7 separate regions of the Mus musculus genome follow, and all the other regions are reported to be linked to region 4. Evidence: microRNA targets listed by miRTarBase, many of them from high-throughput screens and not tested one by one. Region 4 holds a microRNA gene; each other region holds the end of a gene's coding sequence.

Region 1 (4,066 bases), not on the chromosome of region 4:
CCATTGGCACTGACCCTCCTGAGGTGCCCTGCAGCCAACCCTCCTCCTGGGAATCATGAGGGTATAGAGTTTCCACGTCCTCTTCTCCATCCAGAATACATATGTGGTTCAAAGCAGCTCTCCTGTGAGGAGCTATTCTCCATGGTGAAGGAAACAAAGAGAACTGAAGGCACCCACGGGTGTACACAGCCAGTCAGCAGCAGTGCCCGGCAGCCAGGACACTTGATAGCATATGGTGCAGCTCGGGTGGTGACAGGCTCGGTCCTCTTGAGGTCTTCCTGGCTACTAGCTGTGAGGGAACCTTAATGGACATTGCTTGTTCCCATCCAAGCTAGAGAGCCGTCTTCCTCAAAGAACCTGCTGTGGGCAATCCAGGGTAAGCCTGCCTCGTCCCCACCCCCCACCCCAGGTCTCTGAGGAGGCCTTAGTGCTTCCAATCAGACAGCCTGCAGCTGCTTAGTGGATGCTTAAGCCATCTCTATGCCTTCGGGGCTCCTGGAGTCTCTACATCAAAATGCAAGAGGGCATTATCATACATAACACTGTGCAAGCGAGCCAGGAGATAAATATTTCTCAGCAGCTTTCTGTAGCTGGGTGTGGTGTGTGTGTGTGTGTGTGTGTGTGTGTGTGTGTGTGTGCAGTGCATTTACCTTGTGGGTCACACAGATGCCAGGGGTTGGCATCAAGATGTCTACCTCAGTTGCCTCTCCATCCCATTTTTTGAGACAGAGTCCCTCATTCAACGTGGAATATACCGTTTCCGCTAAGCTAACTGGCCAGCAACCCCAGGAGATGGCGTTACAGGTGCACATCACCACGTTCCACTTTTGTGTAGATTCCGTTGCTCCAGACTCAGGTCTTCATGCTTGTATAGCACCTTACCCACGGAGCCAACCCTCCAGGCCCTTCCAGTCCTTAGTGTAACCCTAATGGTAACCCCAGGAGGCAGGCAGGTGGCCCCCATTTTATAGATGGGGCACTATAAATGGAGGCTCCAGACATAAAGGGTCTAAGCCAGGACTGGAGTCCAGAGAGCCTCAAGGAGCAGACTCTTAGCTGCTGACGTAGGCTGAACAGAGCAGCTTTTGGAAAAAGACTACGAGAGATGTGTGCATGGTCCTGGAGCATCTTTTGAAAGAGAATGTGAAGTGGTAGGACTGGCCATCTCCCAGCCTCTCCTCGTGTCCTTCGCCCAGCTGCCCTCATCCCTCATCCGGGATCCACAAGCAGACACCACAGTGCAGTTGAACCTGTGAGCAGATGCGGATTTATTTTGGCACAGACTTGGCATCCTGAACCCATCCCCCCACCCCCAAACAGCTCTGATAGCTCTGACAGTCACAGGCTCGTCCTCGGGGCTGGACTGCACCCAGAGTAGAGCAATGACCTCAGAACCAAGGCCTAGGGCCTGTCACTCCCGAGGAACCTCCGCCCACCCCCTCATTCCCTGGAATCCAGGAAAACCCAACCAGAGGCAAAGTCCTGCCTACACCGGCAGGTACAGGAACATCCGCAGGCTCCTCTCAGTAAAAAAAGCGATTCCAACCAAGCCACCAAGCCCCGGCAGTGCTGAGAGCAGCCAGTGTGACTCTAGAGGAGAGGGTGCCCATGGATTTAGAAGAAAAGGAAGCTGAACCCCAATATCCAGTTCAAGGCTCCCCTGGGAGGGTGCCTGGCTTCCATGCCCAAGCCCGAGAGGTCCAGAGACGTGAAGTCAAAGAGGATCAGCAGCTTCCTCCAGCTCAGCTTGGATGCCATCACCTCCTCTTTCCTAAACTTGGAGGGGCCTGGAAACTCTTTTCTTCCATCCTCCTGGGAATGGGGACCCACTAGTCCTGGGCTGCCATGCTACACCCAGCAAGCCCGAGGGCCCAGACACGCAGTGTGGTGCAAACTTCTTTAAGTGAGGTGCATGCGGGTAAACCTTCTGCCAAGCACGAATCATTGCTGCATGGGCTGCACCCAGCTAGAGCCCAGGTTTGCTCCCCTGCATAACGCGTGTCTCCAGCCTCTGCCAGAGAGTATGCACCAGGGATTCAGCTCTTGACTTCCTCAGACTTCCGTGCCATGCTCCCCCGATCCCACCATGGCTTCGATGGGGGACAGGGATGAGTCAATTCTTAGGATATCACAGTAGCTGTAGCTCTCGGGCCCAGAGCTCCTACACAATGCCCAGGGAACATCCATGACCCTAAATGAACTCCAGCCTCAGGCTCAGACACACTCAAAATCAGGGGCCATCACCAACATGCCTCGCCTTCTTAGCACCCCACCCCAGACCCCTGTAGGTGGCTTCTCAGCCAAAGGCTCAGATGCTCAGGTTCCCCTCCCCCCCCGCACCCCTCCCCCACTGGTCCTAGGGGATACCAACTGGACTAGTTGGAGGATGCGGAACATTGCATGCTGGTATATTCAGCTGGGCTTCTTTGTTTCCTATGCTGCCCTCCAGAACTCTAAGAACCCTGAACAGCATGGGCTGGGGTTGACTGCACTACCCAAGGGACTTGTGAACCTCTCATCCTCCTGGGTGGCCTCAAGCCATCAGCCGGAGGACTAGATTGGGGGCGGGGTAGGGGGAAGAGGGAGAGATCTGTATTAATATCTTGCTTTCCTGATATCTCTCAAAACACACAAAAGCCCAGGGAAGGGTGGCAGGGTGAGGTGGGACAGGGCTGAGAACAGGTGCAGGAGCAAACGGGGCTCAGGGGACCAGGGCTATTCCCTCAGGGCATCCTTTGTACCTCGGGGGTACATTCTCTTCCTCTGGCACTCCGGCACCCAGCATGGGCTCTCTGGAGGCCTCCTTAAATGTCCATGGAGTGGATGTGAGCAAGGTTTTAGGTCCGAAGTCCCATCTTCCTGGGACACCTGCTTGGCACTGCAGAAAGACAGGTCCTGCCATCCTCAGTGGAACTCCTGGCACTGGATGGAGACAACACCAGTCATCAGAAGACGTCCAAGGCTGAGCCACAAGAAGGGCAGGGCTCAAGCCCCTGCTCTGCCTCCCTCCTGTTCCCTGCTGGCCCTCCCATCCTGTCCCTTCCCTGCTGTCTTCTTGGGCACTTGGATTCTTTGGACCCTCAAAGTCCTAAGTGCCTGAAGAAAAGCCCCTCAGGTGCCCAGTAACTTGAAGAACCCCCAGAACTCAGCATCAGACCCTGTGAGGCTAACGCTGCCAGAGACAGAACAAGGACTTCCCCACTCCTGGGCCTGCCTAGAAACTGCTATGCCACACTAAGCCAGGATCAAAGCAGGAGGTCTCTTGAGGAACCTCCTCAGGAGGCAAGATGCAGTGTGGCCAAGCTCCAGACTCAAGTTGTAAGGTTTGTCCCAGCAGCAGGAACATCCTCACACCAGCGAGGGCTACTGTCCTTTAGCCTGAGCCCAAATTCTACCCTAGAAAGGAAACAGAGCCAACTAAGGGCATGTGGAGGGACAGGAAACTGAAGGTGGTGGCGGTTCAACTGGGAGAGATGGGGTTGAGTATTTGGGATGCAAGGAGTATCACACCTGTACACTAGGGGGTGGGCTTTACCTAGCAGCCCAGTACCAAGTACCAAGCCCCACCACCCTGGTTTCCAGGCTGCATCCTCTGGCCATACCTGGTAGATGAGGGTCAAGTCAGGAGGTGAACAAATAGGATAGCCAGGCCGATGTTCAGCAAGATCACCATACAGATGAGGACGGTGTTGGGTACCTGAAGGCATGGAGAAAGTCCGCCTGAGTCCCCACGACCTCTAGACAACCCCAGACCCCCAACAAGATTACAAAGCTGGGCAAAGAAGCCAGGGCTTATGGAAGTTTCTTCCTAAAAACATCCCTGGTTTGTCCACAGTTGGACCCTGCACCCAGGAGAGCAGAAAGAATTCTTGAAACTAATTAACCCAATCTTCCATCTGGAACTGCATCATTCACTTTAAAAGCTAGCTTTTGCTCTTTGCTGCTGAGTTTGGTTCCTGGACCCCATTAGAGGCTGGGGGCTCAAGCTCTGTTGGAATCTTCCTCCACTCTATCCCACCCCAGCCCCCAAACCTCCTGAACCTCCTGAGGTGGCTGGTGAGCTAGC
Region 2 (4,066 bases), not on the chromosome of region 4:
TAATTATGTCCGATTCCATTTACCTACTAAGGCTTTCAAAGAGTCAATTTCACATCAATTCAAAACCAACACATCTCCCTTTGAACTGGATGACTTTGTACAAGAAAAAGAGAGAGCAGCAGGAGGCATGGTAGGGTATACAATATGATATTCTAGTCCCTCTTTCTCCTACATCTCCCCCACATTATGGGGTCTCAGACTGTGGCATGGCCAAATCTATGGGGACTTGTAAGTAGACAACCTTCTGCTTATATATCTAATATGAGATGCTTTTGAAGGAAAGGGGGAAAGATTACCAAAACGCATTTTGGTTCTGCCTGAAGGCTCCAGCCTCTGTTGTTTACAAGAGATGCTATATAGATGATACACTTGTTTACAATTTCAGTGTCACTCTGACCTCTTTTCCTGCAGAAAAGAAGACATCTCTCCCTAAAGTTCCCTCCAATGCACATTGTGGCTACACATCTTACTACTTTAAAAAAATCTCTTACGTGTGTGTGTGTGTGTGTGTGTGTGTGTGTGTGTGTGTGTATGTGTATGTGCACGCGCATACACACATACACACATGCACCATGGTGTCATGCACCATGACACCATGGCATGCATGTGGAGGTAGAGGACAAATTACCAGAGTCAGTTGCCTCTTTGTATCATTTGGTTCCAGGAATGTCACTTAGGTCGCCAGTTCTGGTGGCAAGTATCCTTTCTAGTTGGTCATCTCCCTGTTCTTCATTACATTTTAAAAGTAGTTTAACATGTTCCTTAATTCTTCTCCATGTTCTGCCAGACACAGCCAAGAAAACATAATGCCTCTTTCGTTTACAACAAAGTCTGAGGGCTTGCCAGTGGAAGGTTGCTGCCATCTTTCTCTTTCTTGACATACAATGAACTTATCCCCTCTCATCTTTCTGTCTCAGGTCAGTTCATGAAGGTCACCTTCTAAAATTTCTAGACAAGAAGTGGGCTCTTTGACACAAACATTTTTCTTCAACTTCAAGGGCTGCTCAATGTAGTGATAAAGATACCGAATTCTCTTCTAGAGTATGAGAGCTCCTTCTCTAGCTAAGACTTTTTAGTGAAATTCATTAGTGAAATTGCCTCAAATCAGCTCAACTTCCGTGGGATAAAATGGAGGTCCTTAGTTCTCTTTCTGGTTTTCCTTGAGCCTGATTTCTCAGAATTTAATATTCTTTTCTAAGTAGAGTGTCTGTATCACACTCTTGCACAATTGGTAATTTGGAGGGTAGGAATGCTCATCTTCAGTTTAAAACATCATGATAACTATAGAACGTATGACCACCATGATGACATACATAAACCAATTCATTTGCACCCCTGAGGTCATACACACACCATCCCTATTTACTCAGTAAGACAAAGTCAGAACACAAGTCTCTCCAACAGCACGGTGGGAAAAAGGCAAACACTTACTTTATTTGTGGTGCAGCTTCTGCCAATGCTCACTGCTCACAGATTCCTTTAAGCTACAGTAACATTTAGTAAACTCACCAAATACTGTAAAAAAATGCCCAATGATAAGAAAATTACAGAAAAAAAATTTTTTTCCATTACACCGTCGAAATTTGTTTGAGTCCAAAATCTGTTATTTCTGCAGAGTTTGCAATGAATTTTTCAATGTTGATTCTGGTTTAAAATGATTCTGGTTTACTCTCTTTCCTCCCCTACATAGTCCTGGTTGAATTATGACACTTTTTTGTGACATTTTAGGACTACCATTTTGGGAATTGAGATTGCCGTTACTCTCACATATTTGTATTAAGATCTTAACAGTTTTCATAAAACATTGATCTTCTGTGTTTTATAAAACAAAGTTATAGATTCTATTTATTGTAGAGCATTTCCAGTTTGGGGAAAAATTGAACAGCTAATCAGCAGAAGGTCATTTTATGCCTTTTTTCCTTTTAAATTAAAATAAATAATTATCAACCTATTAATTACAAAAAATTCTTAATTATGCTTAGAGCAACCAGAGTATCTTCACAAATATATTTTCATATTTGTTACAGTATGCAAAGTCATTAAATAAAGCCTCTGGTTTTCCAGTTTGGTAACAAATGGCTTTTGTCTGATGCATAATTAATAGAAACTAATGATGACTATGTAGCGCTTCCAGAGTTTTAAAGGCAAATCTATACTGGCCTACAGTTAACATGCAAATTCATCCAACAAGCAACACAAAATGTATTGTAGTAGTCATTCATTTTTATCAACATTCAGGAAGATCGAGACAGCAGCACAACTCTCCTTATGTCAGAAACACATTATAACATGGTCACCACTGAAGTTAGACCATACTTGGTAAAGTACCCCCTTGCTAATTCATCCTCTATCATCCGTTCAGACTTTCCGCACAATACATGAATAACAGTGATAAATACTGTGGCATGAAGGTAAATACAGACAAGAGTTTGGTGTGCTAGCATACAAAGTCTTAGAAACAGTGACGGACAAAACCAAACAACTTGCCTTGTTCATTCTCCCTTTGTGAGCCTGGTATTTCCATGGTCTCACTGAAACATTCTACCTGGAGATCTGAGTCCAAAGATCCCAGCGCTAAAATTACTCCCTGGGAGGGAAATTTGGCCACTGAGGATGCCATGCCTATTTGAAGGTGGGCATCAAGGGAAATATCTTGCTCTACAAAAAAAACCAATGGGGTGTTCCCAGAATCCTTGAAGGAAATGTAATTTTTCAAAATACTTAGCATTATCTCAAGGAATCGTTTGGCGATTCTGTGGCTCAAATTTTATTTTGTTATATTTGGCTGGGTAAGCGAAGTGTCCGCACCATCACCATCCCTCCTAACTCTTCTTCCACTACATAAGACACTTGTTAAGATAAGAAAGATATTCTGCTAAAGCTGACGGTGACTGAGGGTCATTTAGTATTCAAAGTTCCTAAAGAATCGTTGGTTCTCTGAAAGGGATAAAAAAGTAGGAAAGGCTTTGTTCAAACTCCTGCTAGTAAACAAGTGTTACTTCAACCGAGACAATGGCTACGTGACATCAAAGTACTATAAATTATCAAAACTATCGTACAGAAAAGTTACAAATTCATTGCAAAATACATTACACTGCTACCATTAAGAAAAAAAGTGCTTTTTATTTTCTTTTCTTCCTTTCTTTATCTTTTTTTTTTTTATTTTGCCAGAAAAGTATTCTTTCAATATAGAAAATCCTATGTGGTACCCTGCATGTGGCTAGGATATATCGTAACGGAGTTTGTACTGAGTCCTTCTGATTTACTGGAAGGGCTGAAAATGTATAATAATGACTTATTAATTAAAGCCATGCTCCAAATGACCATGCCAGCTGTCAGTGGAGAGATGCCTATTATTTAAGACACTAGAAGATGCCCTGGTCTGTCGAACCCTGCCGGTCAGGTCATCACACTGTTCCACCAATCAGCTGGTTTAGAAAGCACAGGTCTTTGCATGTTCTGTGGGTTTCCTCATGTTCTCCTGAATCATTCTCATGTCTTTGCCTAGCTTTGCATCCTGTGTGAATCCTCTCAGTGATGTCTGTATTGTCTCATGAGAGGAACAATGCAAGATGGTGGACCTGCCAATTTTAAGAATGGATGTCCAAGGAGTTCTTGAGCTGTGGCTCTTTGAGAGGGCTCCCTCACCAACATAAGATCTAGGAATCCTCGGAGCATGGAAGAAACCTGCGAAAAGAAACAGACATCATACTGAGGACTAACACAAATGCCAGGCCCACTGTCCTGAAATGATGCCCCAACTAACATCATTGATGACTTCATTGATGACTTCAAATATGTGAAATGAAGGAGAAAGATATGGAAGAAAAAACATACATCATCACTGTAATTGCTTTCAAAGTTTGAAATAATAAGGGTAAAGGATAGAGGAACTATTTATTAAATAAAATAATGATGGTAAGGAATGACAGCAATTGTTGTGTTGGGATTATATCAGTATTGGTTGTACATGTGATAGAGTCAACCAAGACTATGAAATAGTGCTTAGAGGTGCCACCTCTGCTTTCTTCATAGAGAGAAACAAATTTCTCTCAGGTTGGTTGAC
Region 3 (4,066 bases), not on the chromosome of region 4:
CCTCCTCCCAGCTCCATCAACAGCAAGGACTGACCTTGGCTTGCCAATCGGTGAACTGAGGGATCCCTTCAGAGCAGGTCCCAGCCAACCCAACAATTAGGCCAACATATTCTCTTGAAATGTCCTGCTCAAGTTTTCTTGTATAATACAGGCTAGGTTACAGGATGAAAGCAAGCAGGGGCAAAATCCATAAAAACGGTTCCACAGTCCACCTGTGTGAGATTACATGGTATATTTCACACCTCTGGACACCGGCTCACACACACTACAGCACATTAAGAATACATTTTAAATGCGGTTATAAAGCAGAAACTAAAAGTCTGAGAATGTGAAATAGGCTCTGTGTGTGTGTGTGTGTGTGTGTGTGTGTGTGTGTGTGTGTGTTTGTACATGCGTGTGTGCACCCTGCACATTCTCTCCCAACTTCCTTATGGGACTTCACTTTCAGAAGACACAATGGGAACTTTTTTGACACTGAAGTGGTTAAGGGGTGAGAAACGTACACACAAAGGGAACACAGTTTTCCTGAGAACGACCATGAGTAGAACTCACCAGGAAGACACCCTGGCTTGTTCTCATGTCAGGCTGGTTTCTGGGACCAAATCTTTACTTCACCAGTTCTAAGCTAACAGCCATCTAAGCAGTGCCCAGGACTGGCCTGGTCAGGGCTCCAAGGCCTGCAGGAAGGAACACTGCAGTATTTCCCGGGTTGGGGCCTCGGGGAGTAGCTACTAACCCTGTCCCACAGGCACACTTTGAGATGGGGACTTTATGGTTCCACCCCATGGCTCTCACCTGAGACATCTCAGAGGCTGTGAGAACAGATGGCACACAGGCTGGCAAGCAGGAAAACTGCACAGTGTTTATGCTCACACAGCGGGAAACATAAAACCACACAACAAGTGACAAACACGGGACTCCTGACAAGGAAAAGCACGAACACTTTATTTCTGACACAACAAGATGAGTGTAAAGCAAGTTATGTGACCCACTGAGATCTGTGCGGTGCTGAGAAAGCAGTCTCTGGGCCTGCCTGCTTACTGGAACAAACAACACGCTATACAATCACAGGGTGGCACAATCGCAGGGTGGCACTGTTCTCCTGGCTACCTGACTGGGAAATTCTCCTCTTTCACAAGACTGGAGAACTCAGAATAGAAACCTGTGGCTGGCAGCTCCAATGAGCACTGGGTTTCAGTGTCTTAGGACACCAGCTTCCTCAAGCCTCAGCTGCTGCTGCCCGAGCGTGAGTTTTGGCTCCTGGGGCGCTGGGGTGTGGTGTGCCCTTCTCTACCTAGTTTAGTGATCCAAGGCCATTTTTCTATCAGAAGTGCAGTGTTGCTCCTAATCTCCACTGAGAATCTTAAGGAGCAATTGTAAAATACACCTCAGTGTATTTCCTTTTCCGGGTGCCCATGACATGACTTAATAGCAACAGGGGCTGAGAGTGACACGACCGTCTCCATGGAGTTGCCGAATTGGTGAACTTTGAGGGCAAGTCAGAGGACAGCCCTAAGGGCAAAGCTCCCACTAGGGGCCTCATGGCCAGAACCAAACTGAAGGCAGCAACACTGTGTTCAGTGCGGCCTGGGAGCTGAGAACAAAAATCCCCAATGCGGACAAGTCAGTCAAAGCTGAGAGACAAGGAGCTGCCCGCCCCGCCCCGCCCCCGTGCGCACAGCGGACACTCTGAGGGCTGGCTGAGTGTTGGAGGCCACAGGAAGACTAATCTGAAAACAAATTAGCACAGACCACGGTACTTGGGGAAGTCACTGCAGCCTCTCAGCGGTGGGCACACCGAGCAGGGCTGTGGGTTAGTTACCACTCTTGGGGAATAAGTTCCTTCCCTGCCAACTGCTCCTTTCCATGTCAAGCTCAACCTATTAGGAAGGGAAAGAATCACAGCTTACACAAACCCCAGCAGAAGGTCCCCAGGAAAGTACAAACTACAGCTACACCGGTCACATTTGATAAAGTGGACACTGAGTCTTGAAGAGCCAAGCCTCTTGACAGATTAGGCCGGCCACAGTTCTAAGCAGGATGTAGGGATTCTGAGGACGTTTGGGTATGACTAAAATCATGTAGGAAACAAGGTGACTTTTAAACAGACACACATACGCTCATCTCGAGAATACTATATACACAACACAGCAGCAACACAAGTGGGCTTCCAGGCAAAGGGTGTCTGAGCAAAAGTCCTCTGCTCCCCACCTCTTAGGGCTCCCCCAGAAGGACTCAGCACAGCAGCAAACCCGCGGCACAACCACAGAGGCCTCGACTCTAAAAGGTGCGGTCTACAGGACCACCCTCTAGAGGCCACTGTGCCTGGCTGGGGCAGAGAGGGCTGGGACAGTGCCCCCTGCTGCACACATCTGGAATATGTAAGGGCTTCTTTTCCATACTTCATAAATTCTTCATGCTTTCTGAGAAAAAGAAGTCTGAAATCTTCTCTCAGTCTATATGGTGAAAGCAAACTACATAAGCAAAGCTCACCTGCCCTCTGCAGAATTTTGGCTTGGACAGATGTTCATCTGATCAGAAAGCCTCTCCCTCACAGCTCTACAGAGGGCAGCCCCCACTGCTCTCACAGCTCTACAGAGGGCAGCCCCCACTGCTCTCACAGCTCTACAGAGGGCAGCCCCCACTGCTCTCACAGCTCTACAGAGGGCAGCCCCCCACTGCTCTCACAGCTCTACAGAGGGCAGCCCCCCACTGCTCTCACAGCTCTACAGAGGGCAGCCCCCACTGCTCTCACAGCTCTACAGAGGGCAGCCCCCACTGCTCTCAGACAGAGATGCCTGCAGAAGCCCCAACGAGAGGTGTCAAGGACAGCAAAAGCGTGGAGCCCGTGAAGGCCCGTGCAGGTGGGAAAGCCCTCAACTCATCACACACAGATCAATGTATGATCTCTCGCACAGCCCAGAAACAACTGGATGGGCAGGGGTTAGAGCCACCAAGCAGACACCCTGAGCTGGGCAACACTGCCCTTCATGTTGCTCAATACTTGTACTTCAGAAACCCAAATGGTTCTTTCCTGTGACTTCTTTGCAACTCAAAGCTACAGCTTACTCACTGCCCACACTATAAACAGACAGTATATACAGATTAAAAACCACACACGCACAAAAAGGAAAAAGAAAAAAAAATGACGGTGGTGAGTTGAAGCTTTTCATTATCTAAGTCACAGCAGCTGGGCGGCCTTGGCGACTGGCCCCCACTCCATCCTGCTCCAGCTCTCTGGGCCCCAGGTGGACTCTACTCATCTTCCAAGGCAGATGTCAGAATCCCCTTGTCAGTTAGGTGAGACTTGAGCGTGTTGAAGATGTGAAGCTGCTGATCTGGCCGCAACGTCAGAAACTGCTGGATCAGTTTGCTTGGGTTTGGACCCCTACAACAGAACATAAGGCACCCCTGAGCAGGGGCCAGCTGCCTCGCTGGCCCAGTTACCCATGGGGTGCTATGAGCCCTGGATTCACTATTAGTGGAGGGAGAGAGACCTCAGAGGATTTGTAAACACTCATGCTTTCAAAGCCCACTCAGCTGGATCCGGTGGAATATCTGGATCCGGTGGAGTAGTTCCGCACCTGATAAAGCTGGCGATGTACACATTGACAAAGGTGGCCATCAGGTACTGGCAGTCAAAGCGATCCATGATGCCTCCATGACCGGGAATGGTATTGGCAAAATCCTGTTAGAGGAAAAGGAAGGAAGGATGGGCCTGGGCTCACCAACAACCAAACTCCAGACTAATGGATCCACCCATGACCAAAACCCTGCTGGGCAGAGAAGGTGATGGACAGAGGCATACAACCAAATGCCCAGGTGATCACAGGACAGGACTGCAAATTACAACGCGGTCTCTGGTTGAAAGAAGCACTAGCAAACCAGATACTTGCACTTTCATTTACTGTCCCCCAAATTCAGCACATGGGTAAAGAAAAGCACACAGTAAGTGCAGGGGCGTGACCTGGTATGAGGGGTGCAAGCTGATGGAGCAGGGCGGGGAAGAGATGGGCGACCAGGAGTGAAATGGGAGAGGCAGGTGGGGCAGAGTTCCCCTACTTTG
Region 4 (4,066 bases):
ACTTTCTTGACTCCAGAGGTCTCAGCCAGATGAGGGAAGCCTGCTTCCACAGCCTCATGGGCCTCTGGTGCAGCTATGGGTGGCAGGAGCTGCTGCCTAACTTGTTGGGGTGGGGGACTAGAGGAGAGGGGAGGATAGGCTTGCTCTGCACCCAGCCAGAGGTGGCAAAGGACAGCTCTACCACAGATCCTTCACCAAAGCTGTGAAATGGGCATCTGGTTCCAGTGAGATCTCCACTTACCTGAAACCCATTGGCAAGAACCCAAGCCAGACACAGCCAGGCACAGGGCTCAGTGACCCATGGGGACAAGGGACTTGATCCCTGAACAAAACCCACCTTAGGCGACAGCTTTGTTTTGCTTTAGTGGTTCCTAAGAACAAAGAACAAAACCAGACTAAACCAGTGCTTGGCTGCTCTCTCCAGTTCAGAGGAGGTATGGGCCACTGAGGTTCTCAGAGGGGCCTTACAGGGTGTGTGGTTCTTAGTCCACCTCTAAGCAAGGCCAGAGTGCTTCTGAGAGCAGGAAGGCATAGACTCAGCCATTTATTTCAAGTCTTCACAGAAATCAGGGTAACATTAAGTAGAATTAACACACTTTGATACTTGTACCATTGTGGTATACAAAGCAGATAACCATTTGCAAGTCCCCTGCAACCATCCAAATGCAGTCACTGCTACAGCCCAGGCTCTGAAAACCAATGGTTCTGTGCGGACGCTCCTCTCAGTCTGTCCTAGAGCCTTTGTCACCCAGCAGGTCTGGGTGCAGAAGCCTGGCCAGCCAGTGGGATGCTCCTTCTGGTTCCTCTGTCCACCGCTCTGCCTTGGCTGGGCTCATGTGACTGCACTGATGGCTCAGTCTCAAGCACCGTTCTCTAGACAGTGACTGAAAGAGCTTAGAGCTTGTTCTGAGACTCCGCTAGTACCAGGCTGGCTGAAACTCCACATTTGGAAGAGAGCAGAGTCCCAAGCCACACTAATTTCCCTTTACTTCCAACCTTTTTAGAATTAACATTACCTGGAGGTAGGAAGTGTGTGGAAAGTGCCTGTTCTGACACACGTTCTTCTTTGCTTTTAAGGAGCATCAAATTCAGAAGCAAACTGGAACACTAGCAAATCTGGTACTTTATTAAGACATTTTAGGCTTTCCTGCATTTTCAAAAACAGGAATGCTCTGTTGACTGAACACATCAAAAGGGCTTTGCAGAATCCTTGGGGACCAGCCACAGGAGGTGTCACATGATTCTGCAGTCTCAGAGCATGGCAGCTAGTTTTTGCAATCACAGGAAGCAGGCAACCGGCTCTCCATCTGCCTAGGGGAGGGTGTCCTTCATTGAATGACTGCCTTAAAGTCACAGCTCAATTCCAGTGTGTAGACTCAGTCTCTCTAGGACTGGGAACAAAGGCAGCTGCCAGGTGCAACAGTTTATGAGGCTCCGCCTTTTATATATGCCACGGGAGCCCAGTCTCTGGAAGCCCAAGATGGACCAACCACTGCTGTGGGCTGATGGCCTTAGCAGCCACATAATCCTCCCTTTGATGTCCAGGGTCAGTGCAGTCCTGGCCCCACCAGGGCTAGGAGAAGGTATATGAGAATCTCACTGTGATCTGTCCTGTGGAGGAAACAGCAATAAAATTTATTACCCAGTCACCACAGCCATTCCAACAGGAGTCCTCCCAGCCTCTGACCTCCACTTGAGAGGGAACTTTTCATGGGAGGACAGGGGCAACACTGAAGCCACACCTCACAATCCTGGGTCTGGGGTGCACAGTCACGGCACAGGCCATGCAGGGCTGTGAAGCCCAGAGAGGTTCAGAAAGGCTCTACAGACAAGGCCCTTCAGACAGGCATTCTCACTGCTCAAGGCAGCGGTGACATGGTGTGCTCTGCCCCAACACGTGGCAAATGCTCAGCGCCTGCCCTACCTGCTTCTAGGGAATGCAAACTTTCCAAGGTTAGCTCTGCACTCTACAAATCCCCACCTCGGGAGCACATACAGAGGGATACCACTGCTGTTGGGTCTGGTACCAGACACTCAGGCCCTTCATCTTCTTCTCCGTGGGAGGCCTGCCTCAGGCACTTACAGATGGGTAGGCTTTTTGCTCAAGGGCTCGACTCCTGTTCCTGCTGAACTGAGCCAGTGTGTGAAATGAGAACTGATATCAGCTCAGTAGGCACCGGAGGGCGGGTCCAATCACAGCTGGGCAGTGCCTCCTGGCGTGCCCTGGGCATCATCTTGCCAGCGACTGTGGAGACATGGAGACCTGGACTGCAAATACAAGAAAGAGTTCACCACGCCCAGCAGGGACAAAGAACCACACCCCCACCCATCACGTGTGGCATCAGCTGAGACAAGGTTGGCTCAGTTTCCTTGATGCACCTGGGTTTAGTTTTCTGTGACTCCCAATACACTTGACATTACAGTGAACTAATTAGCAGTAGAACTGTATTTTCTGTAGACACACTTAAGGGTGGTCAGCACGCTGTTTGCACTCTTGACAACACAGCCTTGAGGCAGGCTGGTCTCTCCTCCTCTGGAGTGACCACCAGGCAGTGGCCTCTGCCTGGCAGCTGCAAGTTAACTGTCCCCATCTCACCTTCTCTTCAGGTGCAGAACTTAGCCACTGTGAACAAAGCGGAAACCAATCACTGTTCACCAATCAGCTAAGCTCTGCACCTTGTTAGAGAGGTCATCGCCGGCCATAATTAAAGGGCTGGTGAGCATCTTCGAAGGCTGTTGGCTTCTTTTGTTTCCAAAGAGCCACAAGGCGCCTCTGTTCTCCAAACTGCAGAGAGAAAGTAGCCACGGTTCTGCAGGAGCAGCCAAGGTCATGGTTGCGTGGTAATCCCTGGCAATGTGATTTTAATCTCAAGTCACAAATCAGCATGCCAGGAACCCAAGCAGCCAGAGCAGGTGAGGGCAGCACCATGCCCAACCACTCCCATCCACATGTGCTGAGTGTCCTCCAAACCGCCTCTGAGCCCACCACGCTAGCAGTGCAGCCTGCTGTCCTTCAGCGCGCTGGCTGCACTGTATAGAGGAGCATAGGGGACTGGGAGACAAAGGACACACTTATCAGCTATGAGACCAATACCTTAGGGACCATCCTTGCTCTGAGTATGTGGCCTTTAACCCTGGGACACACCCTGTTCTCCAATTGCAGACTGAATGGGTTGGGATGTCTCTGGGCCCCTCAGACAGCAGGTGTGGTGTGTAGGGAGGGAGCATCTCTCTGGCTTGCCTGTGACCAAGCATTTGGTTGGATAAGCTGAGGCATAGCACAGAGCTCATAGGGGACCTAGCAAGTTGAGGATTTGCTCACTCAGGGGGCAAAAATACTCTTAGAAGAGTCACTAGGACCACTATGTGACTATGGCTTTCCTAAGTGAAGGCCTAGGGACCTAAAAAGGGAACAGTGGCTTTACTGTGTGACCTTCACACACCACATACCAACAATCCCTCAGCTTACAAGTTTCTAGAGAAATGTCTGCAGGAGGCAGTGAAGAGGCGCCCCGACCGACTCTGTCTATCCACACAGGCCACCGTCCTAGCTTGTAGTGTGCAGGCTTAGCAGGCTGTACCTGCTTACTCCAGCCCACTATCTCCCCTGCTTGACTGTGGCGGTCCCCAGCTCTTCTGCAACAACATGGTCATACATAGTAACATGTTTTCCCTTCATCAGTGTAGTTCTTCAGAAAAATAAACATTACACAGAAGTGGGTTTTATAAAAGTGAAATGTGAAAATGTAAATTTAATGTCTGACAATGGGTTAAGATTAGCAACACAATTCTAAATATTCATTAATTGGTAATCATAGAGAACAACAGAGTAACACAGTGATTGATGTAAAATTTCAAACATATACAAAAGTAAACATCATATGTACCACCATGGCAAGCGATAATGTCCTGGGATGATGTAGAGATGATGACTGGCGACTATGAAAGAGACGCACTAGCCCACACCTGTCTCAGAACTCCACGCCCTGTGGCTGAACTGCATTACTGGTCCACAAGCTGGCTACAGAGGAGGCAAGTTACACCACAGCCAAGGACTCTGGGAGCC
Region 5 (4,066 bases), not on the chromosome of region 4:
CACACCGGCGAGCGGCCGTTCGTGTGCAATTGGCTGTTCTGCGGTAAGCGCTTTACGCGCTCCGACGAGCTGCAGCGGCACCTGCGGACCCACACGGGCGAGAAGCGCTTCGCCTGCCCGGTGTGCAACAAACGCTTCATGCGCAGCGACCACCTGAGCAAGCACGTGAAGACACACAGTGGTGGCGGCGGCTCGGCGGGCTCCGGCGGCGGCAAGAAAGGCAGCGACACCGACAGCGAGCACAGCGCGGCGGGAAGCCCTCCTTGCCACTCCCCTGAGCTGTTGCAGCCTCCAGAGCCGGGCCACCGCAACGGCCTGGAGTGACTGTCGCGATGCCTCCCACCTGAATCCCGTCGGGCTTGTGTACCTAGACTGGGCTCCAGTCTAGGCTAGCTGTGCGTTCTTTCCCCCAACTTCTCATTCTCTCTCTCACCGGTTTTCTGCTCTTAACTTTTAGGATGTGGACAGTAAGTAGCACACATCGGTGGCTGAATCCTTGGCTCCCTTCTGCACAGTGACAGCCATGCGGGGCGCAGTGGAAACCCGCTCCTCCAGCACTGGGCTGGCGGAACTTTGAAGAGGCTGTGGCCTCTGGGGTTAGGACGGGATGAATGGGTTGTCTGGTAGAACAGTGGCTTTTGTGGCCTTGGAAAGAACAGTGTTCAACCCGCTTGAGCCGCAGCTGTAGGGAGAGGGATGTAGGAGTCCTGCCAAGGAATCCCCTCCTGGACCCCCGAGTGCTCCCCTTGGACTGTCCTGTGCTGAGCATTACACTCGTGGGAGGACTGCTGCAACCCAGACCGGGTTAGCAGAGTTTAGATCTCCCCATTCAGCTCTGGCTAGGTCTTTGTGCCCTGCGGGTGAACCGATGAGAGTTCTGCGAACGGGAATCAATGCCTCCCCCTCCTTTCTTCTTTGTAACTTTTTATTTTTTAACTGAAAAACTGAGAGGAAAAAAATAAACAAGCAATCTTCCTCTTAGCTTCTCGTTTAGATAGTTTTCCTCTGCTTGCGAGCACGTTTCTCTCCAAACTGCAAATATTGATCCCAAAGTTATTTTGGTCGCCGTAATTTATGGGGTGGGGGCGGGAGTGAGGGTAGGTGTCTTTTCTTATGCAAAAATACCCCCTTTCCGGTGAGACCAGATTAAGTATCTTCGTGTTTGTCTTTTTCTACCTCGGTTTTTTCACCATCCCCAAGCATATTCTTCCAACTTCCCACATCACCACCACTTTTGGGTTAGTCTAGGAATCAATTTATCTACTGATTTCTGTAAATTATTGCAAGTCATTGATTAATTTTAGGGTTAAACTTTTTCTTTGTGATTTAAACTTAAGTGAAGAAGCTATCGTTTATTTCAGATGAGGCTGTAGTTTAAATGCCAAAAGAGGGAAACGGGGAAACAATTTTTAAAAATTCTTTGTAAAATATATCTGAACCTAATGGTTTGTACAACTGGAAAATCGTTCTAGATTAGTTTCCCATTAAACTTGACTCCGCCGCTGTGAGGTGTGAGACGATTTTGTATAGTATTTTTCTTGTACATTACTTCCGGTAAATATTTGAAAATATATTGAAGTAAACTTGATTTTTTTTCTTTTTCGTCAGAAGGAATTATTAAGAGTTATTGCTGAGGTTCTAATGAGCTGCAGGTGTTTTTTTTTTTTTTTTTTTTTTCCTTTTTCTTTTTTCCTTGAACTCAATTCTGGAGGTGCAGAGCCACACACGCACTTTCCGGGCCTAGTTTTGCTCGAATATGAATTTAGATAGGTATCAAGCTGTAACTAAGACACTATTTGATAAATGTTGGATGACATTTAATTTAATGGCGCATGTACTTATTTGCATTTGCTGGCAGTTCAGGTATAGTTAAAGTGAGAGTTCTCCTATACTTCATAATAACGGGGTCTGCCAAACCCATGTATTAAATAAATTGTCCAAGTGATACTCGACTAACTTTGGCCTTTGTGTATTTCCTGAAGGTGATATTGTTAACTGTTGACAAATACTCCTGACACTACATTTAAGTGTTGTTTGCAGAGTCTGCAAACTAACTATTCATTGTCATGTTGAAATAATTTGGATATTTCACATTGAAATGAAAAGCCTTTCTCTGGAACATTAGACTTGCATTTTAAATGCATGAAATGTAATTGATTTATTTGTAATATTTTAAATGGTATTAATAAACTCAAAAAAGACTAGGTCAGTTAATTTGGTGTTTTTCCCCCCCTTTTAAAACTACGGGCATTTGCATTTTATCTTCCGTTTTAATGTCTAATTTAAACAAAATATGACCCTGTTTTTTGTGGCAATATTTAATTATTTGCCTTTAAGATATTATGTAGATGGAAGATCTATTTGGCAAAGCTGTTTCTTTGTTTACCAAGATAAAGATTATAGTGTCTAAGATATGTAATTAATTATTTACCATTAGATTTAGCTCAGCACCAGGATTTATTGACCTCTTAAAACTTGTAGTAATTCACAAACAATTCAAAGAAATTCCATGTTGCTGCTTCCTTCTCAGTCTTCAGAAGGAGTCAGGTTGTTGGCCTTTGATCGAGTTTAGTGTTTGAAAGGCCAAGACTTAGATGAAAGATCAATACATCTAAAATAAAAGCATCATTTGGGGATACCTTCTGTTAGGAGACAGAGGGGGTCAAGCTAACAAAAGCTTGTTTTCTGGCACTCTATGTCTTAGCTAAACATTCTGCAGAGGTAAATATCAGTAGATTCCTGTTGAAATGAGTTATCTGTTCTTTAAAAGTCTCTAAACAGCCACCAAAGAAAAGAAAGGTTAAACCTTAATCTATCTACGAGGCTATTGTTCAAAGGTGTCAATGATGCCAATAAAAAAACATTGTCTTGTTATGTCTAAGTGCATTTAAGCAATGGGTGTTCCTTGAGCCATACTTTGAAACATAGTATACTTTAAATGTTGATTGATGTTATATCAAACTATTTCACTATTAGATTAATATTATTTTGAATCAAACTTAATAAAAAGTTAGTGTGTTGAGATTCTAATAAGTTTAGCTTCTTTCTTTCTGTTTGCATGGTTCTCACTCAGTTCAGTCTTGGTATCCATCTTGAATTGAAAATTTTGCATTGAAACTTATGTAAAATATCATAATGCATAGAAACATGAAAAATAAGAGGGGTTATAAATACTATATAAAGCCTGGGCAAAAGCATTCAGAGATTTATAGTTCAATATGTTATGTAATACAGTTGGTTCCCAAGTAGTAGCCTTTATCAGGATGTTCACTCATACACATATGGGGGCCTCAAGCCCTTATGGTTATAGATAAACAAGTTACCTTTGCTATTTTGGGATACTGTGGCTCTAAAAAAATGGTTACTAAGAAAAATAAAACAGTTTCTGTTACTTTTTTTCCCTAGGAATAATGCAGAACACAGTTTAAGTGTTTCTTTTTTGTTGAAACTTGCAGCAGCTGGGGGATACCGAGAGGCCAGTTCTACAGTTAATGTAGAGGCAGGTAAGAGGACAGCTGCTTGGCATATTTATAGGAATGAATACTTGATTTGAGAGATGGGTTGTGCCAAGGAGGGATACTGTTTGGAAGATGATTTCTTTGGGAGATGCAGAAAGCAGGGCTTATTTTTGTGTCGTAGGTGTTCCAACTTTCACTTTCTTCCTTTAGCTTCCCTCACAGTCTAGCTTGGCTTTAGTTTGTTTTGCTCCAGCAGTATTTTGTTGTTTGTTTCTGTTAGCAGTATTTTTAACTTAGTTTAGTACAGAGCGGGTAGAATCCCCCTTTGGGGACTAACATCATGTCTCTTTGGGAAGGAAGGAAGATGACACACAAAAGGGATTCTTTTCTGTGTAGTCTGATAATGGCTAGAAATTCACTCCCATGAAGCTGGAGTAGCTGTCACTTTGAACCAAAGGACAAGCTTCCGGGCTTGCAGATCAAGGTAGAGTCAAACTAGCTGTTGACCCAGAGGTCAGGCCTGCATGTATCAGCCCATCCTCCGGAGACTGGGAAGGCACTGCGCCCACCCCCCACCCCCTCCCCAAGGGTTGGTGCTATCCAGCCTT
Region 6 (4,066 bases), not on the chromosome of region 4:
AGCTCCTGAGAGCAGGCTCTGCCACAGAGAACTCTCAGCCCACAAGTTGGGCAGAGTAGGGTTTATAAAGTTTTACAATTACATCATACCAGGGAACAGGCTAAGAGGTCTTTTCTTTTTTCTATCTTTTTTTTTCTTTTTTCTTCTTCCTTTTTCTTTCTTTCCTTCTTCCTTCCTTCCTTTCTTTCTTCCTTTTTCTTTCTTTCCTTCTTCCTTCCTTCCTTTCTTCCTTTCTTTCTTTCTTTCTTTCTTTCTTTCTTCTTCTTCTTTTTTTTTTGTTGTTGTTGTCATTATTGGTTTTGTGGGGCTTTTTTTGTTTTGTTTTTTGTTTTTTAATAGATTATTTCAGGGTCTTTCCATGTAGCCCTGGTTTGTTGCACAAACCCCTCTCCAGTACAATTTTCACCACGGCAGGTGTCTTAGCTCTCTACTGCTGTGATAAACACCATGAGCAAAAACAGCTTGGGGAGGAAGTTATAGTTGGAACTTAAGGCAGAAGCCTAGACACAAGAACTGAATCAAAGAGGCCAGCCTGGTCTACAGAGTGAGTGCCAGGACAGCCAGGGCTACCCAGAGAAACCCTGTCTCGAAAAACAAAAACAAAACAAAACAAAAAACAAACAAACAAACAAACAAACAAAAAACCAAAAAGAACTGAATCAAAGGCCTTTGCTCCCTATGGCTTGCTCAGCCTGGTTTCTTTTACAATCCAGAACTACCTACCCAGCGTCGTCGACACCACCCACATCAATTACATAGGAAGGAGATGCACTATAGACTTGCTTCCAGGCAAATATCCAAGTGGTTTCTTGAGTTCCTCTTCACAAATGACTAGCTTGTGTCAAGTTGACCTCAAAGTAGCGGGGATGCCTAGGTTGGTTACAAAGTACCTTAAGGACAGCTGAAGAAAGGAACAGAGGCGCTAAGGGCTCTCAAGTTTGTGTTTGGACAACTTGCAGGAATCAGTTCTCCTTTAACTGTGTGGGCTTTGGGGATTGGACGCAGATCAGGGTGTAAACACCTTTACCTGCTGAGCCTTCTCACGGGGCCCGGTTTAGAAGTCAGCCTGCTTTGTAATGGAGTTCGCCTGCTAATGGTCAACTGGTAAGATTTGGTTTGGTTTTTCAAGACAGGGTTTCTCTGTGTAGCCCTGGCTGTCCTGGAACTCACTTTGTAGACCAGGCTGGCCTCGAACTCAGAAATCCACCTGCCTCTGCCTCCCAAGTGCTGGGATTAAAGGCATGGGCCACCACTGCCCAACTAAACGATTAGGAAGACATCTCAGGTGAAACGTTTTATATATATATAAATACTTTAAAGATGTATTGTGGGCTGGCGAGATGGCTCAGCAGGTAAGAGCACCTGACTGCTCTTCCATAGGTCCTGAGTTCAAATCCCAGCAACCACATGGTGGCTCACAACCATCCCTAATGAGATCTGACTCCCTCTTCTGGTGTGTCTGAAGACAGCTACAGTGTACTTACATATAATAAATAAATAAATCTTTAAAAAAATTAAAAAAAAAAAAGATTTATTGTATGTATCTGAGTACACTGTAGCTGTACAGATGGTTGTGAGCCGTCATGTGGTTGGCAATTGAATTTTAGGACCTCTGGCTCTGGTTGGCTCCGCTCTCTCCAGTCAACTCCACTTGCTCAGTCCCTGCTTGCTCTGGTCCAAAGATTTATTTATTATTATACATAAGTACACTATAGCTGTCTTCAGACGCACCAGAAGAGGGTGTCATCTCATTACGGATGGTTGTGAGCCACCATGTGGTTGCTGGGATTTGAACTCAGGACCTCTGGAAGAGCAGCCAGTGCTCTTAACCGCTGGGCCATCTCGCCAGCCCCTATACATTCACGTATGCATAAACATAAAGCTGAAATAAATAGTAATAAAATTTGAGTTTTTCAGAAATAAGTTCTGGGACAAGAGAAGATTTTTTTTTAAGGTACTGTTTATTTTGTGGGGGCCGGGGGGAATGTGTATGGGTGTTTTACCTGTATGTAGGTCCATCTTCTGGGATACAGGTATGAATGGCGCCGTAGGTGCTGGGGATTGAACCCAGGTCTTCTGCAAGAGCAGCAGGTGACCATAATCCTGAGCTGACTTTCCAGTCTCTCTAGGTATTATTGAATGAGCAGCTATTTGGTATGAATTTACACTAATGGTGTAACTAGGTATTTTTTGGTTAGTCTATTTCCATTATCAGGCTGGACAAGGTTTCTCACTGTGGTTTGAATAAAAATGGCCCCCTGAATCATACTTGAATTCTTAGGGAGTGGCAGTAGGGGTGACCTTGTTGGAGGAAGTTTTGTGTGTGTGTGGGGGGGGGGGGCGGGGTTTCAATACCCAAGGCCCCGTTAGTTCTTCCAGCTGCCTTCAGAACCTGCATGCTTCCCACCATAATGGACAAAACCTGAGCTGCAATTCCAAGAACTGCATGTGGTCATAGTGTGCCCTTGTCAGATCTGGATTTCCTGAGTACCAATTCTAAGGAGCCAACAAGCTCTATCTAGGTCTCTACCTCCCCAGTGCTGAGAGGAGTGTCCTGGGGACCCTGTGTCTTAGCAACTCAGTCTTTCAGCTCAATCAGCTTCTTGAGTACACTGTAGTTGTCTTCAGCCAGAAGAGGGCATCGGACGGCATAGGTCAGCCACCAGATGATTGCTAGGAATTGGACCTCTGGGAGAGGAGTCAGTGCTCTAAATCTCTCCAGTCCCCACGCCACCAACTTAACTTTCTTTTTTAATCTTGATACAGGTGTCACTACATAGCTCCAGCTGTCCTGGAACTAGGTAACCAGGCTCGCTGAAAGGCAGGAGATCCATCCACATGCCTCTGACCCTGAAATCAAACTGACCAGCTACCCAACTTCATCTTAATAAAAGAGCAGAGCCATCACTGTTCAAGGTTTTATTTGGCATGACACTTGGGTGGTTGGTTCCATCATCCATATGCAGATCTTACATCTCACATAATATTGCAATGCACACTACAGACACATATAATATATAAAATATCCTGTACAACATTTATGCACAAGATATGCATCATGGACGTACACACTGGAGCCAGGTTATACGACTTAACTGGGAACTCGTCGGCCTAGGCATGTTTGGTGCAGGGCAGCAATGCAGCAGGCTCACAGGGGTAATCGAAGCCTGCAGTTGGCAGTGTGTCTCAGAGACAGTGGGACTGTCACACTAACCAGGTCACCACTACACAAGTACCACTTGGCAGCAGGGCAGAGCTGTGGGGAGTGAGATGTTTCCCCACACCATCTCAACACCACTGTACTAACCACAGCTCAGACGAGAAGGGTGTGGTCTGCCTAGAAGCCCTGCTGCAGCCTGGACAGTGAAGTGCTAGGACACGGGGAAGACTTTAGAACTGCAGCTCCTTCTGGATTCCCCAGAGGGTGTCTGCGCTCTTCTTCAGGCGGGCCTCTTCCTCAGGAGTCAGTGTCACCTTCACAACATCCGAGATTCCATTTTGTCCCAGGATACATGGGACACTGAGGAAGACATCCTCATTGATTCCATAGAGACCCTGGACACAGAATGACAGAGATTACATCTATTTTGTCCATACCTCCTAATATTCCTTGGGATTTAGACCTTTACAAGTATAAAGACTTCTTCTTTTAGATAGATCTACCTGCCTCTATCACCCGAGGTCTGGGATTCAAAGTTTTACCACGGCTTGGCTTATAAAACAAGTTGAGTGTCAATGCTATTCTATTGCAGAGTTGTCCAGGTATGATAATAATGAACAGTGAAGTCTGGCAGTGGTGGCCCACGCCTTTAATCCCAGCACCTGGGAGGCAGAGGCAGGCAGATTTCTGAGTTTGAGGCAAGTCTGGTCTACAGAGTGAGTTCCAGGACAGCCAGGGCTATACAGAGAAACCTGTCTCGAAAAAACCAAAATAAACCAAAAAAAAAGCACTGAAATAGAAAGTCAGTAAGAAAGCAAGAGCTAGGTTTGGCACGTGCCTGAAACCCCAGCTAGAGGCAGGAGAGAGTTCAGGGCTATCCTCAACTACCTCACAAGTTCAAGGTCA
Region 7 (4,061 bases), not on the chromosome of region 4:
GTCTGAAAATGGCAGCTGATCTTGAATCTGGTCACTCTGTCACCCAGGGAGAGTGAAGTCACCCCATCTCTAGCCTCCTTTGTTCGCTGCTTTATGTGGCAATAAGGACAAAGTAAAAATGGGCTTATGATAGTAGTTTATAAAACTGAAGGGGCTGCAAAAATACAGGATGGTTTTTGATGCATTCTCTGTCCTTGAGTAACTGTTCCTGACTTTTCTCCAGGGATCAAGTTTGTGGTCCTGGCAGACCCTAGGCAAGCTGGAATAGATTCTCTTCTCCGAAAAATTTATGAAATTTACTCAGACTTTGCCCTCAAGAATCCATTCTACTCCTTGGAAATGCCTATCAGGTAGGTAGCCCCATTCACCAGATTCTGCCAAAGCTTTGTGCTAGCTCCCAAGTCATTTAAAGTGTGACCAAGCACTGCTTTTAGGGAAAGACAGCAGTGACCAGCTCTGTTTGTCTTGAGGACACAGGGTTTCCGTAGGCTTCACGTTCTTCAAGTCATTCCTACCGATTCTGCCTCTACCCTTGTGGTGGAAGTCTCATCCCTCACAGTTTCTTGTCTTCTGGGTCTGACCTAGATGCGAGCTGTTTGATCAAAACCTGAAGCTAGCTCTAGAGGTGGCAGAGAAGGCTGGCACTTTTGGACCTGGGTCATAGGATGAACCTGGAATGGACGCCCTAAATTCTGAGACGTGCTCCAGAGGGCTTTGCTGTGTCTACTCGGTGAGGGTCCTGTTGTAGCAGCCTTGCTAATATACTTGAAAATGGTAGACCACTGAGCCTGGTGATGGTGACAGATCCTGGGCTCGAATGCTGTGTTCTCTGCCCCTCTGTATATATTACAGTCCTACTCTGTATAGATTTATTTATGGAGGAAACTGGCTTAGCAATGCTGAAATAAACATTCCTTTGTTTTAGTGTTTTCTCTCCTAACTGATCATTTGGGAGAAGGGCAGGGGAGGGGAAGGCAGAATTGCTAAGGGCATTCAGTGAATATAAAGTACTATCTTCTAGAAAACAAGACAAACGATGTTCATTAGACAAACTAGCAGGATAGCGACTCTTGAGCCTTAGAGGCGGCCCGGCCCCAGAGCTGCTGGTTCTCTGGGGCCTGAGGTGGCCGTGGTGGATGATGGGACACTTACTTACTTGCACTTGAAATCAAGCTAAATTTTATCTCAGTATGATCTCTGACCCTGCGGTGTATGTTCTGTTCTAATCTCTTACAGAATTTAGCACATTATAAAATACCTGTGTTTCAGAGCTCTCAAGCCAGTTACAAATGGCCTAAGTGTGGACCCATGCTTTCAGAGCCCCCTTCCTTAAACCTATTTAACCTACCTGCAACCTAGTGTAAGTGTACAGCATTAGCTGCATGCCGAGCTTGTACTTAAAAGGGTCCATCTGCTGGGCGTGGTGGCGCACGCCTTTAATCCCAGCACTCGGGAGGCAGAGGCAGGTGGATTTCTGAGTTTGAGGCCAATCTGGTCTACAAAGTGAGTTCCAGGACAGCCAGGGCTACACAGAGAAACCCTGTCTCGAGAAACCAAAAAAAAAAAAAAAAGTCCATCTATTACCTCTGCTGTTTCACTCCAGAGAAAAAAAGTCTTTCCTTTTGGGGGTGGAAAAAACAGATACTGGTAAGAACACTTTCCCAAGAAAAGCTTTGTCTAGTTTATGTCTCCCTTTGAAAGGATGAGCCACTGACTGTTTAGTATCAAATCTAGCTTTATTGATCTATACAAGTCGGTTTGCCCTCTATATTCTTCCCTTTTGTCCCAGGGTATTCATGAGAGTGGTGGACTCCTCTCCTCCCTTAGGGACTGAGGTATTGGCAACAATTTTGCCCCCTGCCAAGAAGCCTTGGGGTACAGCAGAAACCACAGGCCATTAATACTCACTAGGAGATCAGGACCTAGGAGAAGAAGAAGGGTATAGGAGACACTCTGAATTCAGGAGTTGCCTGTCTGCCAGAAGGTAGAAACAGAAGCTGATGGAGTCTAGAACCAAACATCATCATTTTAAATAGAGCATGGGATGGGAGTCGGGACCTCATTAGCCACTGGTAACTTGCAGCACCATGGAGGTTCAGAGAGACAGTGGAGACACAGAAACGTAAAGGTTCTGTGTTAGCCAGAGCAGCCGCTCTCCTTTCCGTGTCCTGCCAGTAAGGCTGCAGTTGGGGATGCTCCATAGCGAGGACTCGATTCACTCTCCCTTCTTGGATACTCGGCCCATCTTGGTGCGGATATTTCGAAGCAAGAAGAAGACAACTGTGCTGGCTCCACAAACCACTTCTGCCACCCAGAAGGCTGTGCTCCAGCTATAGTGCTTGGCAATGGTGCTGAAGGGTAAGCCAGCCAGAAATCCACCCACTGCGGGGAGAAGAAGTGAGCCACATGTGAGGGTTAAGCTGGGAGGCATTCTGCCTCTAATAGGCCCGAGCAAAGCAGTGAAGGACTTACCATTGGCCATAAGTCCCACAATAGCATGAGAGGTTCCACACAAGTTGGGAGGTGCACTCTCATTGGCTATGACTCCAAACAAGGCAATGGGACCATAAGAAGAGAAACCAAACACGGCTCCTAAAACCAGGATCCAGATCTGCAAGAAGAGCGAGAGGGGGCATTGAGAACTATAGAGTGTCCATAGGTGCCTATTGAAGAAAGAGAGCCTAGCCGTCAGGAACAAACTAGACAAGGCATAGTCGGGAACCATTCTCACCCCACAGTGAATGAGCCAACCCCAAAGGTCTAGGTGGACAAGGACAGGGGAGATAGAGTCACCCCTCAGAGTTGGATGCTGGCTGTTTCAGACTTTGTGCAAGCTGGGCTAATTAAGGGCAAGATAAGGGTGAAACAAAAGTACGACAGACCAGGAGGAAAACCAGAGATATCTTTAAGGCACCTCATGCTCCGTAAAGCCTGTGAGCTCAGCCAGAGGATGGAGAGCAGGAGTCCAGAAAGCATCCTAGAGAGCAGAGGAAAGAGAAGAAAACCAGGCCCAGAGTGGAGGCGAGACACAAAGTACCAAAGAGGGAGAATAAGGTATAAACAGAAGCAAAGGGAGAAGGAGCGGGCCCAGAGGAGGATGTCTTACTTCCTCTCCTTGTACCTTTCAGCCAGCCAGGCTCTCTATTTACCTTGGGTGAGTCACTGGTCACCGTTACTCGGAAGAGGAACATGGATGCTGCCATCCCAGCCATCATGAGTAGCAATAGGCCGTGACGAGGGTTCCCATACAGAGACAGCCCTGCCTATGGATACAATAACAGCCATATCAGGCCCTCCAAGCAGGGCAAAACACTCCCACCCCTGGACTCTGACACAGCAGGGCTATTGCTGACAGGTCTTTGGCAATCTGTCACAGTTCTTGGACCCAGACAGCTCTGGGAGGCCCTGGGAGCTGCTCCGTGTTCTGAGGCCAAATTCCACAACATCCCTTCCTCCACCTTGGGGCAGGCATGGGACACGTGCTAGGGAGCTGTACCTAGTCCACTGCCACCCCTAGTTTTCTTGAGGCAGAGAAGCCTACTAACTAGGGAGAGAGATTCTGGGTCTCCTTCAGTGGGAAAGAGAAGCTCACCAAGGCAGGTCAAGAGAAACCTGGAAACACTCCCATCTCACCCAACGTCTACCCTCTGCTAACCAGCTCATTTGCCAGGACTCCCATCTCCACTGGCTGGCCCAGCCATGCGAGGAAGCCTCAAAGGGCCTCTCTTCGCAGTTCCTCCTGCCCACTCACCTTCGCCATGGCCCTGTCTGACAGGTAACCAGCTGCAATGCTTCCTACAAGGCCTCCGACCTCGAGGGCACTGATGTAGGAGCTACCTGCATGGGGAGTTGTGGGGAGGAGGAAGGGAAAAGAGTGAACAGGGATTTCCCATTGAGGTTATCCCAAGGTACAGACCTACCTCCAAGGATGCCCAGCCTTAAGGGGGAAGTAGAGAAAGGGAGAGAGGGTGGAGATCCCATCTCCTGCATTGGCCCCTGGTTTGTACACCCTTCTCTGTCTAAACACTCATCTTACCCACAAGGGCGGACTGCCCTCGCTC

Evidence for each region. Region 4 holds the annotated microRNA mmu-miR-24-3p (UGGCUCAGUUCAGCAGGAACAG, at 2,118-2,139, opposite strand). A microRNA usually pairs through its seed, bases 2 to 8, with sites in the 3' UTR of a target mRNA and lowers its output. Matches are read on the target gene's strand: a 7mer-m8 pairs with bases 2 to 8, a 7mer-A1 pairs with bases 2 to 7 and ends in A, and an 8mer does both.
Region 1: miRTarBase lists Jph2 as a target of mmu-miR-24-3p. Seed matches in the 3' UTR shown: 7mer-m8 at 2,699-2,705, 7mer-m8 at 2,306-2,312 and 7mer-m8 at 2,212-2,218.
Region 2: the mRNA of Pak7 is a reported target of mmu-miR-24-3p. Seed matches in the 3' UTR shown: 7mer-A1 at 2,757-2,763.
Region 3: the mRNA of Cds2 is a reported target of mmu-miR-24-3p. The part of its 3' UTR that is shown has no 7-base or 8-base seed match.
Region 5: the mRNA of Sp8 is a reported target of mmu-miR-24-3p. Seed matches in the 3' UTR shown: 7mer-A1 at 2,907-2,913.
Region 6: the mRNA of Ldha is a reported target of mmu-miR-24-3p. The part of its 3' UTR that is shown has no 7-base or 8-base seed match.
Region 7: the mRNA of Trappc4 is a reported target of mmu-miR-24-3p. Seed matches in the 3' UTR shown: 7mer-m8 at 783-789.

What each region holds. Positions count from the first base shown.
Region 1 is chr2:163,335,003-163,339,068 of GRCm38, forward strand. It overlaps Jph2 (junctophilin 2), which reads right to left. Exons shown (of 6, transcript NM_021566.2): 5 at 3,603-3,697; 6 at 1,240-2,922. The coding sequence ends at 3,617. Among named protein-coding and RNA genes, the nearest start is that of Gm35750, 19 kb to the right of the region's middle.
Region 2 is chr2:136,079,690-136,083,755 of GRCm38, forward strand. It overlaps Pak7 (p21 (RAC1) activated kinase 7), which reads right to left. Exons shown (of 10, transcript NM_172858.2): 10 at 1,399-3,687. The coding sequence ends at 3,532. Among named protein-coding and RNA genes, the nearest start is that of Lamp5, 24 kb to the left of the region's middle.
Region 3 is chr2:132,304,475-132,308,540 of GRCm38, reverse strand. It overlaps Cds2 (CDP-diacylglycerol synthase (phosphatidate cytidylyltransferase) 2), which reads right to left. Exons shown (of 13, transcript NM_138651.7): 11 at 4,063-4,066; 12 at 3,585-3,688; 13 at 1-3,388. The coding sequence ends at 3,256. Among named protein-coding and RNA genes, the nearest start is that of Gm46766, 43 kb to the right of the region's middle.
Region 4 is chr13:63,299,324-63,303,389 of GRCm38, reverse strand. Mir24-1 (microRNA 24-1) reads right to left here and starts at 2,182; the gene lies at 2,115-2,182. It overlaps Aopep (aminopeptidase O), which reads right to left. Exons shown (of 16, transcript NM_001289926.1): 16 at 513-4,066. Mir23b (microRNA 23b) reads right to left here and starts at 2,906; the gene lies at 2,833-2,906. It overlaps Mir27b (microRNA 27b), which reads right to left and starts at 2,678; the gene lies at 2,606-2,678. It also overlaps Mir3074-1 and a transcript of Fancc not described here.
Region 5 is chr12:118,849,549-118,853,614 of GRCm38, forward strand. It overlaps Sp8 (trans-acting transcription factor 8), which reads left to right. Exons shown (of 2, transcript NM_001379379.1): 2 at 1-3,030. The coding sequence ends at 324. Among named protein-coding and RNA genes, the nearest start is that of Sp8, 4.3 kb to the left of the region's middle.
Region 6 is chr7:46,854,466-46,858,531 of GRCm38, reverse strand. It overlaps Ldha (lactate dehydrogenase A), which reads right to left. Exons shown (of 8, transcript NM_010699.2): 8 at 2,905-3,555. The coding sequence ends at 3,391. Gm39011 (a long non-coding RNA gene) reads left to right here. Exons shown (of 3, transcript XR_882073.3): 3 at 2,767-2,905. Among named protein-coding and RNA genes, the nearest start is that of Gm39011, 4.7 kb to the left of the region's middle.
Region 7 is chr9:44,400,623-44,404,683 of GRCm38, reverse strand. Trappc4 (trafficking protein particle complex 4) reads left to right here. Exons shown (of 5, transcript NM_021789.2): 4 at 224-350; 5 at 586-925. The coding sequence ends at 664. It overlaps Slc37a4 (solute carrier family 37 (glucose-6-phosphate transporter), member 4), which reads right to left. Exons shown (of 8, transcript NM_008063.3): 4 at 4,037-4,061; 5 at 3,752-3,837; 6 at 3,150-3,263; 7 at 2,473-2,611; 8 at 1,718-2,382. The coding sequence ends at 2,216. Among named protein-coding and RNA genes, the nearest start is that of Mir7085, 2.2 kb to the right of the region's middle.